Linked DNA regions of Drosophila melanogaster. Changing the gene in region 2 together with the main gene of any one other region gives a genetic interaction. Each region holds a gene or a part of one and is shown on either strand. Other genes may lie near its edges.

What was found. Genes that interact genetically often act in the same process or in processes that back each other up.
Region 1: of Cln3 (region 2) and flfl, changing one suppresses a phenotype caused by changing the other (phenotypic suppression), as found in Drosophila melanogaster (one study listed by BioGRID).

What each region holds. Positions count from the first base shown.
Region 1 is NT_033777.3:13,682,156-13,686,961, reverse strand, and holds the start of flfl (falafel), read right to left. Parts: upstream 3,042-4,806; 5' UTR 2,812-3,041; intron 2,538-2,811; 5' UTR 2,438-2,537; intron 1-2,437. Other genes in the region: omd (oocyte maintenance defects), read left to right, coding at 3,829-3,935, 4,000-4,775. UniProt on the Drosophila melanogaster protein: Regulatory subunit of serine/threonine-protein phosphatase 4. The probable PP4 complex Pp4-19C-PPP4R2r-flfl (PPP4C-PPP4R2-PPP4R3) is required to prevent caspase induced cell death (in vitro). May be involved in DNA damage repair.
Region 2 is NT_037436.4:17,808,702-17,816,058, forward strand, and holds Cln3 (Cln3), read right to left. Parts: upstream 5,419-7,357; 5' UTR 5,359-5,418; intron 4,191-5,358; exon of another isoform or gene 4,095-4,190; intron 2,299-4,094; 5' UTR 2,289-2,298; coding exon 2,085-2,288; intron 2,013-2,084; coding exon 1,882-2,012; intron 1,794-1,881; coding exon 1,635-1,793; intron 1,576-1,634; coding exon 1,236-1,575; intron 1,179-1,235; coding exon 744-1,178; 3' UTR 530-743; downstream 1-529. Other genes in the region: CG32191 (uncharacterized protein), read right to left, coding at 1-46; Ir75a (ionotropic receptor 75a), read right to left, coding at 6,961-7,186, 7,284-7,357.

The sequences.
Region 1 (4,806 bases), on a different chromosome or scaffold from region 2:
GAAAAGAAATGTGCCCGGTCTGTTTACAAACATTTAGCGTTTTCCATTAGATCTAGGCCTTCCGCAGTGCGCGCGTGTATCTGTAAATGTATCCGTATCTGTGCGATGGGGTTTTCGGTATGAGTAGGTTTACTATACATATAGTATACACTATATCTGAGCCACTATTATCGCTGCGCTTTCGCCCCACGGCGAGAGCAAACACGCGCGCGAAGAAAACAAACAGCGGCGAGGGCCAGAGAGCGGGTGACTCAAAACGAGGAAGGGGAGTAATCTAACCATTCTCGTACACAGAAAAAAAGTGTAAATAAACACATATCATACCCATATTTTCATTTATACACAGTTAACAATCAGTCCACTATTTCGTTATCTGCACGGCGAAAATCAATGGAGAAGTGTGTGAAATAATGTGCGAGTAAACAGAAGTGGCAAAAGCTACGTCATCGTTGAAGAGCGCCACCTCAATGTTGACTGTCCACCACAAATATTTACGTCACTCTAGATCACCCAACCGCTCACCACCCACCGCCCGCAGTGCCACTCGCCCAAGGTTGCAAGACGTCGGGGAAAATGCGTGCTGCGCTGTTTCGAAGCGATTTGCACAGCGATTAAGTTCCCACTTCCATGGTAATTCCAATAAAGCGCCATAGGCCACTGATAACGCCCGCAGGAGAATTGAAGCCCAGGCGGAGAGCCTGAGTATCTCAATCTCAATCTCAATCTGTAACTGAATCGGATTCCAAGTCTGAATCGGTACCAAAACAAAAGTAGCAATTCAAAACAAACGTAGCGAGCGGTTTCGTTTACGCAATCAGCTGCGAAAAACACGAGAATGCTCATGTGTACATAAGTGTGTCCAAGTGCCGCACAGCGCCACAGATTTCGTTTATTATTAATTTTTATTAATAACCAGCGGCCGCAGAAGGTTGCGAAAAGTGCCGAGAGAAAATCTGTGTGCGAAATATAGAGCTCTGGAGTCGAGTCATCAATAAAGTCCGGCAAATATGACAACTTGGCAGTATTTTTTCGCCCCAGCAACAATTAGTTTTTATAGGGAAGTTAGTAAGAGATACAGTTGTGAACAAGTCGGTGGCCTTTTTGACTCTATTTCGCTACTACCTAGTTAATAACACGTGTGCAAATCGTATTATGAATCACTAGACCTCTTTTATTCAAGGCATTTTCGTTTGGTTTGTAGATTACAGTCTTAGTATGTTGTAATTAAATTCGTAGTAGAATTAAGTTTAGGTTATAGTAGACAAAAATACAAACTAAGATAGGAATTATGCCTATCAACAAGTTTACATCTGATTAGGGAACTTAAGGTACTTGGGTACAGTATTAAAACTATGAATAAAATTTAGGAAGGTAGCAGGAAATTAATAAATATTGTTAAGACTTTAAATACCACCGGTAATTGTGTGAATACAAATAATACAACTATGCTCCATCATTTCAACCGCAACTGTAAATGGATAATTGGAGTCTCGCTGCTCTCTTCCTGTTCTTCGCACACATACACACGCATGGGCGCGAACGCTGCAAGTGTCCGTGTGAAGAAGGAGAAGGCGAAGAGGTGGGAATCCAAAAGCTAAGGATGCAGGACTTCATTAGGAAGTGGTTCGCATATCCCTTTCGTTATCTTCTTACTTTCGCCCCCAGCAATGAAACGCCATGAATTGGGGGAGACGGAATCTAACGATTGCGAACGCGTCGTATCTTGTTTTTTGCATGCATGACAATGTGTGCAGAATACGCGCGCGCTCACACACTAAACCACTCGCACAACCGAAGGCGTGTGTGCATGTATGCAATTTTTTGGGGTGGTATTGGCGGTGAAGGCAGGAGGGATGAAGGGAAAGAGACGGGCGGAGAACTCGAAAATTTAGCAAGTAAACACTCTCCGATTGCGATTACAAAGTCAGCTAATTTCCTTTCATTTTTTATTATAAATTTTTGATTCCGTTTTTTTGTTGATGCCCAACAGTTGATGTATTTTCATACGCGATACACACACAACGCGCTACAGACACTTGGACGCACACAGACACAACGTCTGGCAAGTACATCGCTTTTTGGGCCGTCTCTTTTGCGGTTCATTCAATAAAATTATTGCGAATGGCAGGCGCAAAACAGAATCGCAAAAATTGCAGTGTATTGTGGGAAAGAAGAAGAGGCGTGTGGTAAAGAAAAATGCCGTCTCTCCACCACACACATTACACATGCACGCAATTTTGATCGCTACACGCGCCACCCACACTCTGCAATGTTTTTGTTGTTGTTGCAAGCCGATTTTGTTTTGATTCGATACTTTATTTATGTATACATAATATTTAGGAGCAGCGCATTTCCGCGATATTCGCTGGCGATTTTGCATTTCATTGAAACGCACACAAAACGCAGGGAAAAGAAAAACAGACGACGGCTAACTCACCTCGAACACACGCACACCTACAAACCACACACAGCGGAGAGCGAGGAAATTCAACACGACGGTATGCGTTGTTGCATAAAGTGCGATAAAAGGGGAGACACTGAAAGAAGCAAATCAGCCGAGTTGTATTCAAAATCGGGATCCAATATGGGCTATTGCCGGGATATATAGTCCGATTCCCTGGCAAGGCCGCAAATCATCCACGGAGTACGTGAGAACACACCGTCGGTCACATTCACAGTAAAATTCAAACACACACACACTAGCACGCAGACAACACAGAAGCCGCAAGAGGGCAAAAGAGAGCGGGAGAGAGAGAGCAGCAAAGAGAGAGAAAGAGCGCGGGGGCAAAAACCAAAAAGTTATACACTCACGCTGCAATTCCTTGTTTCTGTTTCTGGCGTTTTTCGCTTTTAGTGCTTAGCACGCTGGCTGCATTCGATCAGTTTATATACAATTTTCTCTTGCGCATATTTATTGGGGGATCACGAGTTAGTTTTCGACCAATATATCTTCCCGGATAATTGTAATTTTCGCTATTTTCCGCGGACCGACGCTAGAGCGTTGGTCTGACCACGACGATAATATCTGCGTATCGATACTCGGCCAGAGAGTACAGCGATAGTTGCATATGACGAGAATGTGAGCTGTTATCGATATCGAACTCTAGCACCCCTGTGACGCCACCATTGTTATGGTACTCTATTAACATATACTTGGCAAAACTGGAGCACCTTGAATGAATATTTGTACAAATCAGAGCAGAAAAAAGCAAACAGCACGACAAACTGCGAGACAGATTCGCCGCTTCGACGCCATGTTGTCTTTCGCTCTTGATTCGCCCCAAAAGAGTGTGCAATAATGCACGAACTGGGTTTTGGTGTTACCGTTTTTCGCACTCCCTACTGTTACGATAATATTTTAAAACAAAAACACGTTAAATATTATAAAATTAGAAAATAGAGCTATAAGTACGTTTACTTAGTATTAAAAAGAGCAAACAGTTTGATTACTCAGTAATTACATCCTCGATTCGAAAGTTAGCATTGTAGTAAACACATAATTCCGATTAGAAATCTTTTCCAGCTTAATTTAACTTGAATGTAAAGTGTCATCTTAAACTAATCTCAGGTGCTAGTTTATAATGAATGTAATGACACGTTAGAGTGCTAAGATATTTATTATTCTGTTAATTTTATGATTTTCAGATATTAAAGAATTTCGAATTTTCTGCCGCCTTAGTGTGGCCAGGTGGCGGCGGATTCCAAATGCCTGCAGTTGTGCCCCGTCGTTTTGGTATTCCGAGTGAAAGACGCAGCGACCCGCTGCTGCGATGCATTTGCTCACTTGGCCAACTTCGGTGCTGCGTTCCCGATGCCTAGGACGACAAAATGCTGCGCCAGAACCTGTTGGATCAGCTTAAGCACTTCATAGAGACGGTGAGCAATGGGCACAGTTGTCCGCAGCTGCTGACCAGCCCCAATCTCATCAAGCTCGCGTGAGTAGCAACCGCGGTGGTTAATAATGATGCCCGTAGTAAATAATTCCATGGATATTTGCAGACTGGGATTCCTGGAGGAGCTGCCCGCCACGCGAGACATTGTGTTCGAATACTTCGCCCTGCTGGCCGAAATCAGTGTGCAGCTGTATGTGTCGCCGGAGATGGCCGACCCAAAGACCGGTATGCCGGTATCCCAGGTGAAGCTGGCCGGGAATCGCCAGCAGCAGCAACGTGCTCCGGAATACGAGGCTTTCAATCTGGTAAAGACCGCGCTGCAGAGTCTGGTGTGGAAGGGACCGCCCGCCTGGTCGCCGCTCATCGCCAACTGGAGTCTGGAACTAGTGGCCAAGCTGTCCGATAAGTACACCCAGCGGCGGATGACCATCACGGCCAGCTGCAACTATTGGCTGGAGTGCAGCGCCATGCACGGGCTGATGACCCTTATAAATAGTTGTTTCCGAAAGTTAACCCAACCGGAGGAGGAGGCCTGCGTGGAGATCATGCTCAATGCCTTTCACCGGTTTCCCATGACCTTCGACTGGATTGTGGCGAGATTGGGCGGCTGTTTCCCTTACAAGATCATCATGCAGATTCTACAGTGCGGCATCAAGCGATTCGTCGATGACTACCGCTGCCACCTGGATTCGGAGGCGGGCATCCTCGATTATATGACCTCGTGCCACGAACAGCACCTTAGGGCAGCCTTTCGTGAGATGCTTAGGGAGGGATTCGCACCGAAGAAGCCGCTGGACGTGGCCGTTGTTCCTTTCCTGCTGATCACCACCAACTACTCGGACACGATCCTGCAGAGCTTGGTCAATGTGCTAGTCGAAATCTGTAAGTACTGGTTGAATAAAGAGATATATTA
Region 2 (7,357 bases):
CCCGTTGGAGGCAGAGCAAAAGCAGAAACGCTGATAAGCCCCGCATCTTGGTTACTCAACTTACGTATTAGACAATCGCGTAATATTCGACTGCCTTGCACGGCAGCTACCGATCAACTGAAACGGCGAGCGGTCCACGTAACATCTCGCCCCAAATCGGTTTGGGTCTCGATCTCCCAATCTGTCTCAGCCGGCATCTCACTGCCAAACCGATCGTTTGGCGTTCGATTTGAAACCGATCAAACCGAATTAGAAGCCACAAGCAACAAGTTTATTTAATAACCGAGCAGCTCCATCTAAGTAATTATAATGTGTAGGTAGTGTAAATACGTACAATTTAAGAGGCTTTTTGTTGGAGACAGTTGAATAAACTCAGAGCAAGTGGGGCGCATTCTGTCTGGGATCAGTGTGCTTATCAAAGTGGTTAGCCGTGAGCACTTTGTGCCGAAAAAGCCAAACTTTGCCAAGGAAAACATTTTCGGAAAAGTGCTTGCATCTGGGTACGTTGAAATTAAATGAAATCGAATGTACAGTGTAGTGTTTATTTTTTTTTTTTATTAAACTAAACTTATAGAGTAGTCTAACAGCAGCATACTAACTATACAACGATCTATCTGGTTACCGGATGTCCAGTGATCCAGTGATTAATACTATAGGGACATGCACAGACACACACGCTTATTTGGCTAAACACGCACACAGTAAAGGCATAATCTGATCCTGATTCTGATCCTCGATCCGTATCACCAAACAAGGCTTCTGGCCGCGGCCGGAAGACCACAGATGGCGTTGTGCACGGGAATGGCCAGAAATCCGGCCAGAGCAATGCCATAGGAGTCCGACTGTACCACCATGGCCATGGCGAACTGCTGGCGCTCCGGCGAAATCTCCTTGGACATCCGATAGAAGGTGTTCACGTAAGCACCGCCGCCCAGAAGTCCCTCCCACAGGACGATGGCGAACACGATCCAGATGCTAGGCGTGTACCACCAGATAACCTCGGTGAGGAAGTATACCACGTTGACGAACTGGAAGATGGACATCAGCCAGATCTTGTCCAGCTGGAAGAGATTGACAGAGGAGCGCGAGATAAAGACTCCGATCTGATAGTCCACATTTAGCCAGCGGTACTGCGAGTCCTTGTCCAGGAATATATCTTCAAAGTAAACCAGTTCGAACTGAAAAATGGATGACAATGAATGTTTTTTTGTATGAATTAAAGAAAGCTAAATTACCAATCCTTGATTGATGAAGTATTCGAAGAAGTAAACCAGGCAAAGGGGCAACATATATTTGAAGAGGTGCTTGATATAGAAGAGCTTTTCCTTGAACCCAACTAATGGCTTCTCATCGCTGATCAGGACTTCCGTGGACTCAACCGTGGTAACCGGCAATATATCAACTTGTGGACGACGAAGCAGCAACCAGAATGCAAAGGCCTCGATCGCAGGGAAGATCAGCATAATCAGCATAGTATCTCTGGGACTGAAGTCTAAGGATCTCAAGCTAGCATAGCTCAAGGATCCGATAACTCCAGCGCCACCAGTTCCGGACGACCAAGTGGAGATCACATTCCTAAGAAAAACATATGGAATTAATGATATTTTGTTTAGTACTTTTACCAGACAACTCACTTATTGTATCGCGAAGAATAGGCCAAGAAAGTGGTTTCTCCTATTCCGCTGCTAGCCGAAGTGATGATGACACCCAAAAGAGCCATCCATTCGGCATTGGCGAATCCAACCAGGAGGAAACCAGCTGCAGAAAAGGCCACGGCAAGAGCTATACGGAAACTAATAAATAAAATGCGATTTTGTGTTAGTATCATATCAAGTTTAATGCATCAAATCAAATTTATTTAATATTGTAGATAGTACTCACTTCACCCAAAATGGAAAGAATGGCATTAGAATCTTGACAAATAATGAGGGCAGCACGTCTGCCAGCAAGATGGCACCTGTTGAAACCAAGTGACAGTTTCTTCCCGACGAGCTTTCTTCCGATTCATCATTCTAAAAAGAAAAAATTATGCAGGCGAACAATTAATAAATGTATTAAAAGTGCTATAATCCTATTGTAATTACCGGATTAAACTGCTTGATAATATCGTGCGCAGCACTCAGCATCACCACGTATCCGTAGTTGTTGCACAGACCGAGGATCCAGTAGGAAGTAAGATCCCGCCATAGACCCCGATCTTGGCGAGAGCTGCGAGAGGCGTCTCCAGGGGTGACCACCACTTGGGGATCATGTTCGGCCTCAGCCTCTTGCTGCTTGGTTGCCGTCATATTGAGCCGGCTAAACAAAAATTAAAAAACCCTTTTGTTTAATATTTTTAGTGCAAATCCAACAAATTTATTTGATTCACTTCATAACTTTTTTTACCATTTACTATCTCTAATCTAAACTCATCTAGTTTCTCCTAAGAAATCAACAACTTATTTGTCTCTAAAAAAATTAATGTTGCTCTTTTTAAAAGCTTTAGCATTTACGCAAATTGTTTAATTGGTCAAGCGTGAACGAAGGTGGTTTTAAGACTTCAAAACGGCAACGAAATCAATATCACGTTTTTATAATAACAGTTTCTTTTAGTAGCTTTAGTTCAACATTTATTTGTTCCAAGAAACAAATCAGCGCCGTACCCTTAGTTCATGATCACCTTACTTAATTTACTTTGAATGGGCCAACTATTAATTGAATTCTCTTTCCCAGCTATGAGCTATTTATACTCTTAAAAGAAACTGCTATTCACTCTTCTAAGCTGAGCAAATACTACTGCTCGAGTCGAATTTAAATAAATTGTTTAATTTCCCAAGCCGAGCATGTGCGTAAGCAGTCTTGAACTTGACATAATATGGTCACTAGGGGAAGTCGCTAAAATATATGGAAAGTACGTGCAATAAATGCTTAAAAATATACAAATTGTGTTGAAGGTAGGAAAAGACAGCTGTTTAGTTCAGACTCAGGGTTTGACGGGTTAAAAGACTCATATTTATATAGCTAAGTGCCTTGCGGGATATTTTCACGGGAGGTGCACACGTATTTCCTATTTTACTATTTGAATTTGTAATAAAGTAGCCTATTACTATTACTTTACACATTTCTCAGGCATTTAACTATGCTATATAACTAGCTAATTTGCAATGTTTGGAGGTTTTAAATAAATAAGATTTTAGATAACATTCAGCTGTAGCGGGAAATAAACTACATATGTGCGATTTTACCGGATATATAGATGTACGTATATATATCACAGTTTTTTGGCAATGTTTTCGGTGGTGCAAAGTGCAGATGAATTGATTTGTTTACATCCGACAGAACTTGTGACTGATAATAGATCGAAGAGGAAATGGGGACAACAGATGGGATAATATAATCTAGACCGTTCAATGCATATATTCCCAATTCTCATTAGCGCCCTTGACTGGCAGCTTTTAATTATCCAGATCATTTAAGTTAACCTTGCAACAAGCCAAACCAATTCAAATAATGTAATCAACAGTTAGCACGAGCCCTGTTAGCCAACAAAGAAAAGGCACGCTAACTGTAAAATAATTATAACAAATTAACTAATTTAATTAATTCAGAGACCAGGCAAATGCTTTTTAGCCGTCCTGCACTTCGTTGGCCACTGACTCATTCAAGAGATTCACTTGATCCATTTGCGCAGTTATGAAGTTGTTGACCCAATTCGCAGTGCACTTTCCTATCCAGTTACTTTTGCTTGCTATCAAAAAATATGATACCCGATACTCAAAATTTATTTCGAAATATCACTGGTAAATTGAGAATGCTAGATCTTGCATATATCTTGAAAAAAAAATTCTGAAGCATAGAGTGCTTAAAGGGATTTTCGTTTTCAAATATAACTTTTTAATCAGTAAATTAATAGATAAAATAATTTTTTTTCCATAAGAAATTTTAAGCCTTTGATATTTAATTTCGCATTTTATGTAATATAATATGTAAAAGGTTGAATTTACAACAAATGTAAAAATGTTTACATAGAGTTAACTTTCTATTGCACTTTATAACTTTTCATAGCACTAATGGGTTCTTCAACTGCTCTTGTTCACTATAAAGTACAACCGTACATCTTGCCACTATTTTTCGGCTTGGTAGTTCTAAGGTTCCGAGAACTGTTGGATACGACGGCGACGACGATTCGCGCTTCGAGGCGATCGGTGAGTGACTGAACCTGTGCGAACCCTCCCAACGGAACGAGAACCAATAACAAGCGGCGACTACAATGGAGCCAAGCGGCTGGGAGCCCAAGTATGAGGTATCACGCGAGTTGCCAGCGGCAGCATAAAAACTAAAACAATTAAAAGATGCAGCAAGTGCCAAAGTGCCGATCAGCAGGTTGATCGTACGTAGATCGCTAGCAGGTAGCACACATTACAGATTACATATATAGTATCATTTAATTCAATTCAATTCGATTTGATTCGATTTGATTCGAGCGGCAAAAGCGGGGGAGTTGAGGTCGGTCAGCGAACGTCACGTTTTTCGAGTTGGCAAGTGCATTCGCATTGGGTTTAGAATACCCCTTCTTCTCAAGAGTGCGAAGATAGCGATAAGATGTTCGAATTTCTCGATGGGGGAAAATCTGCGAACCTTGTGATTCTTTATGGTGGGAAATGCTTATCGGCTAGCGGTCTTTGGCATTCAAAGATCCCAAGCAATCCGATAGTCGAACTGGTATAGATTAGATTATGAAGATATTGTGTCACTACGAAGGGTTCTTAAAGATTTTCCAATACTTTTGAACGCATGTGCTAGCTCTTGATTAATGTATTGAAAACGATCAAGTTAGCAACTGTATTTTGGAGGGTATTTCAAACTTCGTGTTTGTGTTAGCTTTCGTAATTAGCACCTGTTATTGAATAAGTCATAGCTATTTTAATTACGCTTAACTTTAAGTTAGGCAGTTTAATTGCGGATAGCGCTGTTAGCTTTAATTTGTGCTGCCCAATATCAAGTAAGCTCTAATGGTCGTTCCCTCTAAGTTTATTGTTTTTCAACGGGCGCACGTGGCGTATGCGTAATCCGAAAAGTGCTCCTAAGCTCAAAAACACCTGTTTTCTAGTAGAAAGATTTTAAAAAGTAGTATCGATAAATTCACTTGTTTTTTTTTTTTTAAAGTTACACAGTAAACCAAACGGAGGTCATTTAACTCGATGACAAACGGTTCGGCTATGCAAATCACATTTACCCGTTCAACTGGAAATGCTGGCTAATTTTATAACAATTTCATTTGAAACGGAACCCTGAGATACTTTCTACGGCCATAAATCCGGCGTAAAATGCAATAAACATTACTCCCCCGAGTGAATACCAAACACCAGCCGTACGTACACTTTCGAATTATTTCCGGCTGCCACTCAATCCGCTCGAGCAATGAAAATCTACTGAGGACTCGTCGAATACGGGCCTAGATTACAGCCGGACCAGTTGCAATCGACATTATCATTATCGTTAAGTGGCCAGCAGATTAAATTACAGATAAGACGTTCGCAGCATTGGGCCATATAAATCTTAAGATATCACTGGCAATGGCAATTCGTATATGACAGGCTCTGGGGAACAGAAAGGGTAATCAAACTGATGAGGTGATGGCCATAAGCCCGCTTCCCCCTTTTTATCTTTTCCCGTACACTTAAGTCTAATAATCGTACCGGCCAAGAGTTTGGTCATAATAAATTTCTCGGGTATCGTTTTCCCATCCACAATAGCTCCGTTTAAATTAAATCCGTTTCGCGCTCATTTAGCACGTACGGAAACCGCCAAAACCAATTTCACACCGCAGCCGCAAAGCATGGAACACTTTTTACTTGCCACAGGGCTATACATTGCATTTAAAAAAGAGAACATGTTGTTGACAAATTGCAAAATAAAGTGGTTAAGGCTGCTAGGGATAAAAAGGGACACCCGTGTTCGATGTTGTAAATAATAAATAATTCACAATTGCTTGTCAATTTCGAGTCACTCCAAAGTTGTCCTCCCTGCGAAGGGAAAGTAGTCCTTTCATGGCATAAACTATGGCCAAAGCGATGCCCTGTTGACAGCCAGATTGAGTTGACAAATTGTTAAGGCAATTTGTTATAGTAATACTTTGGGAATTCCGGAATGCCAGTGAGTGCTGTTTGGCAAGCAGTTGTGTCAGTTGCATTTTAATGGTCGACTGGGAGTCATTTAAGAACGAAGTTCTTAATACTATTTGCTTGACTTAGGCAAATGTAAAATCTTGAAAAAATATATAATTTACTGCGTATTTGATTAGCAGCCATATAATACCATTTATTTGCTCCTACACCCAATTTAATAATATTTGTGCGAACTCAACTCACTCTTATTTATTGTACAATCAATTTCGATAAAGCTTTGACACGTCCCTTCCCATATTTGTCGCCTCTGGCGATGCGCCATCATTAAAATACCATAAATCATCTCGGGGCAACATGCGATGTCTGCGGTAGGGAAACTACTGATTCCGGTGAAATTCGGGGAAATGCGAAAAACACAACTGTTAACTGTTTCTAATAGGCCGTATTAGGCTCACAATCAGTTATCTAACATTCGCACGTGGCATTGGGGAACAAAGTTTCAATTCGAATGTGGCCGTGCACGAAAATGCAAATAAAATGGCTCCAAGAGAATGAATAAAATCATTGCCAAAAGGGAAAATGGAGTATAAAAAGTAACCGCCAAACACGAAAAGTTTTTAATGCAAATACGAAAATCGCATGGAAACATGGCCACCACGTCCTTTGCAAACCCCTTTATCCATCCCTCCGTTTAACGAGCCGTGCTGCAATTTTCCGGCGCGAAAACAGGAAGTGAGGAAAGCGTCGCCCTGCATAATTTTGCGATGCGAAAAGTTAACGCAAAGTGTTTTTATTTTCTCCTGGGTGCAAATAGAATATAGTTGTTACAGCAGCTTAAAGCGATTTTAAAGCACTACGGGTGAAAGGTGAGATGACGCGTGAAAAAGCGCTTCCAGGCCAGTTCCACCAGCAGGATTACCACGACCAGGATGTCGGCGCAGATCAGCATGAGGAGCAGAGGAGCCACGTACTCCATTCCCACGGTGATGACGAAGTTCTGGGCCACGCAGTGCAGCTTCATGTGCACCCAGTAGCTGCGCTGCTTCCGGTAGACACCAGTTTCCAGGATCCTAAGGAATCTAAAATAATACATACGATTTTAATACATTTAAGATGTTTTTGAATAGCATAAAATTTAGTTATACTTGCTTTTGGAAGAGTAGCATAAGGGCTTACCGAAGTCTGAAGAGCTCCTTGTACGTGGAGTTGCGATGTAAGTGCGTGTAGAATAGCTGCTCGGGTCGAAATAG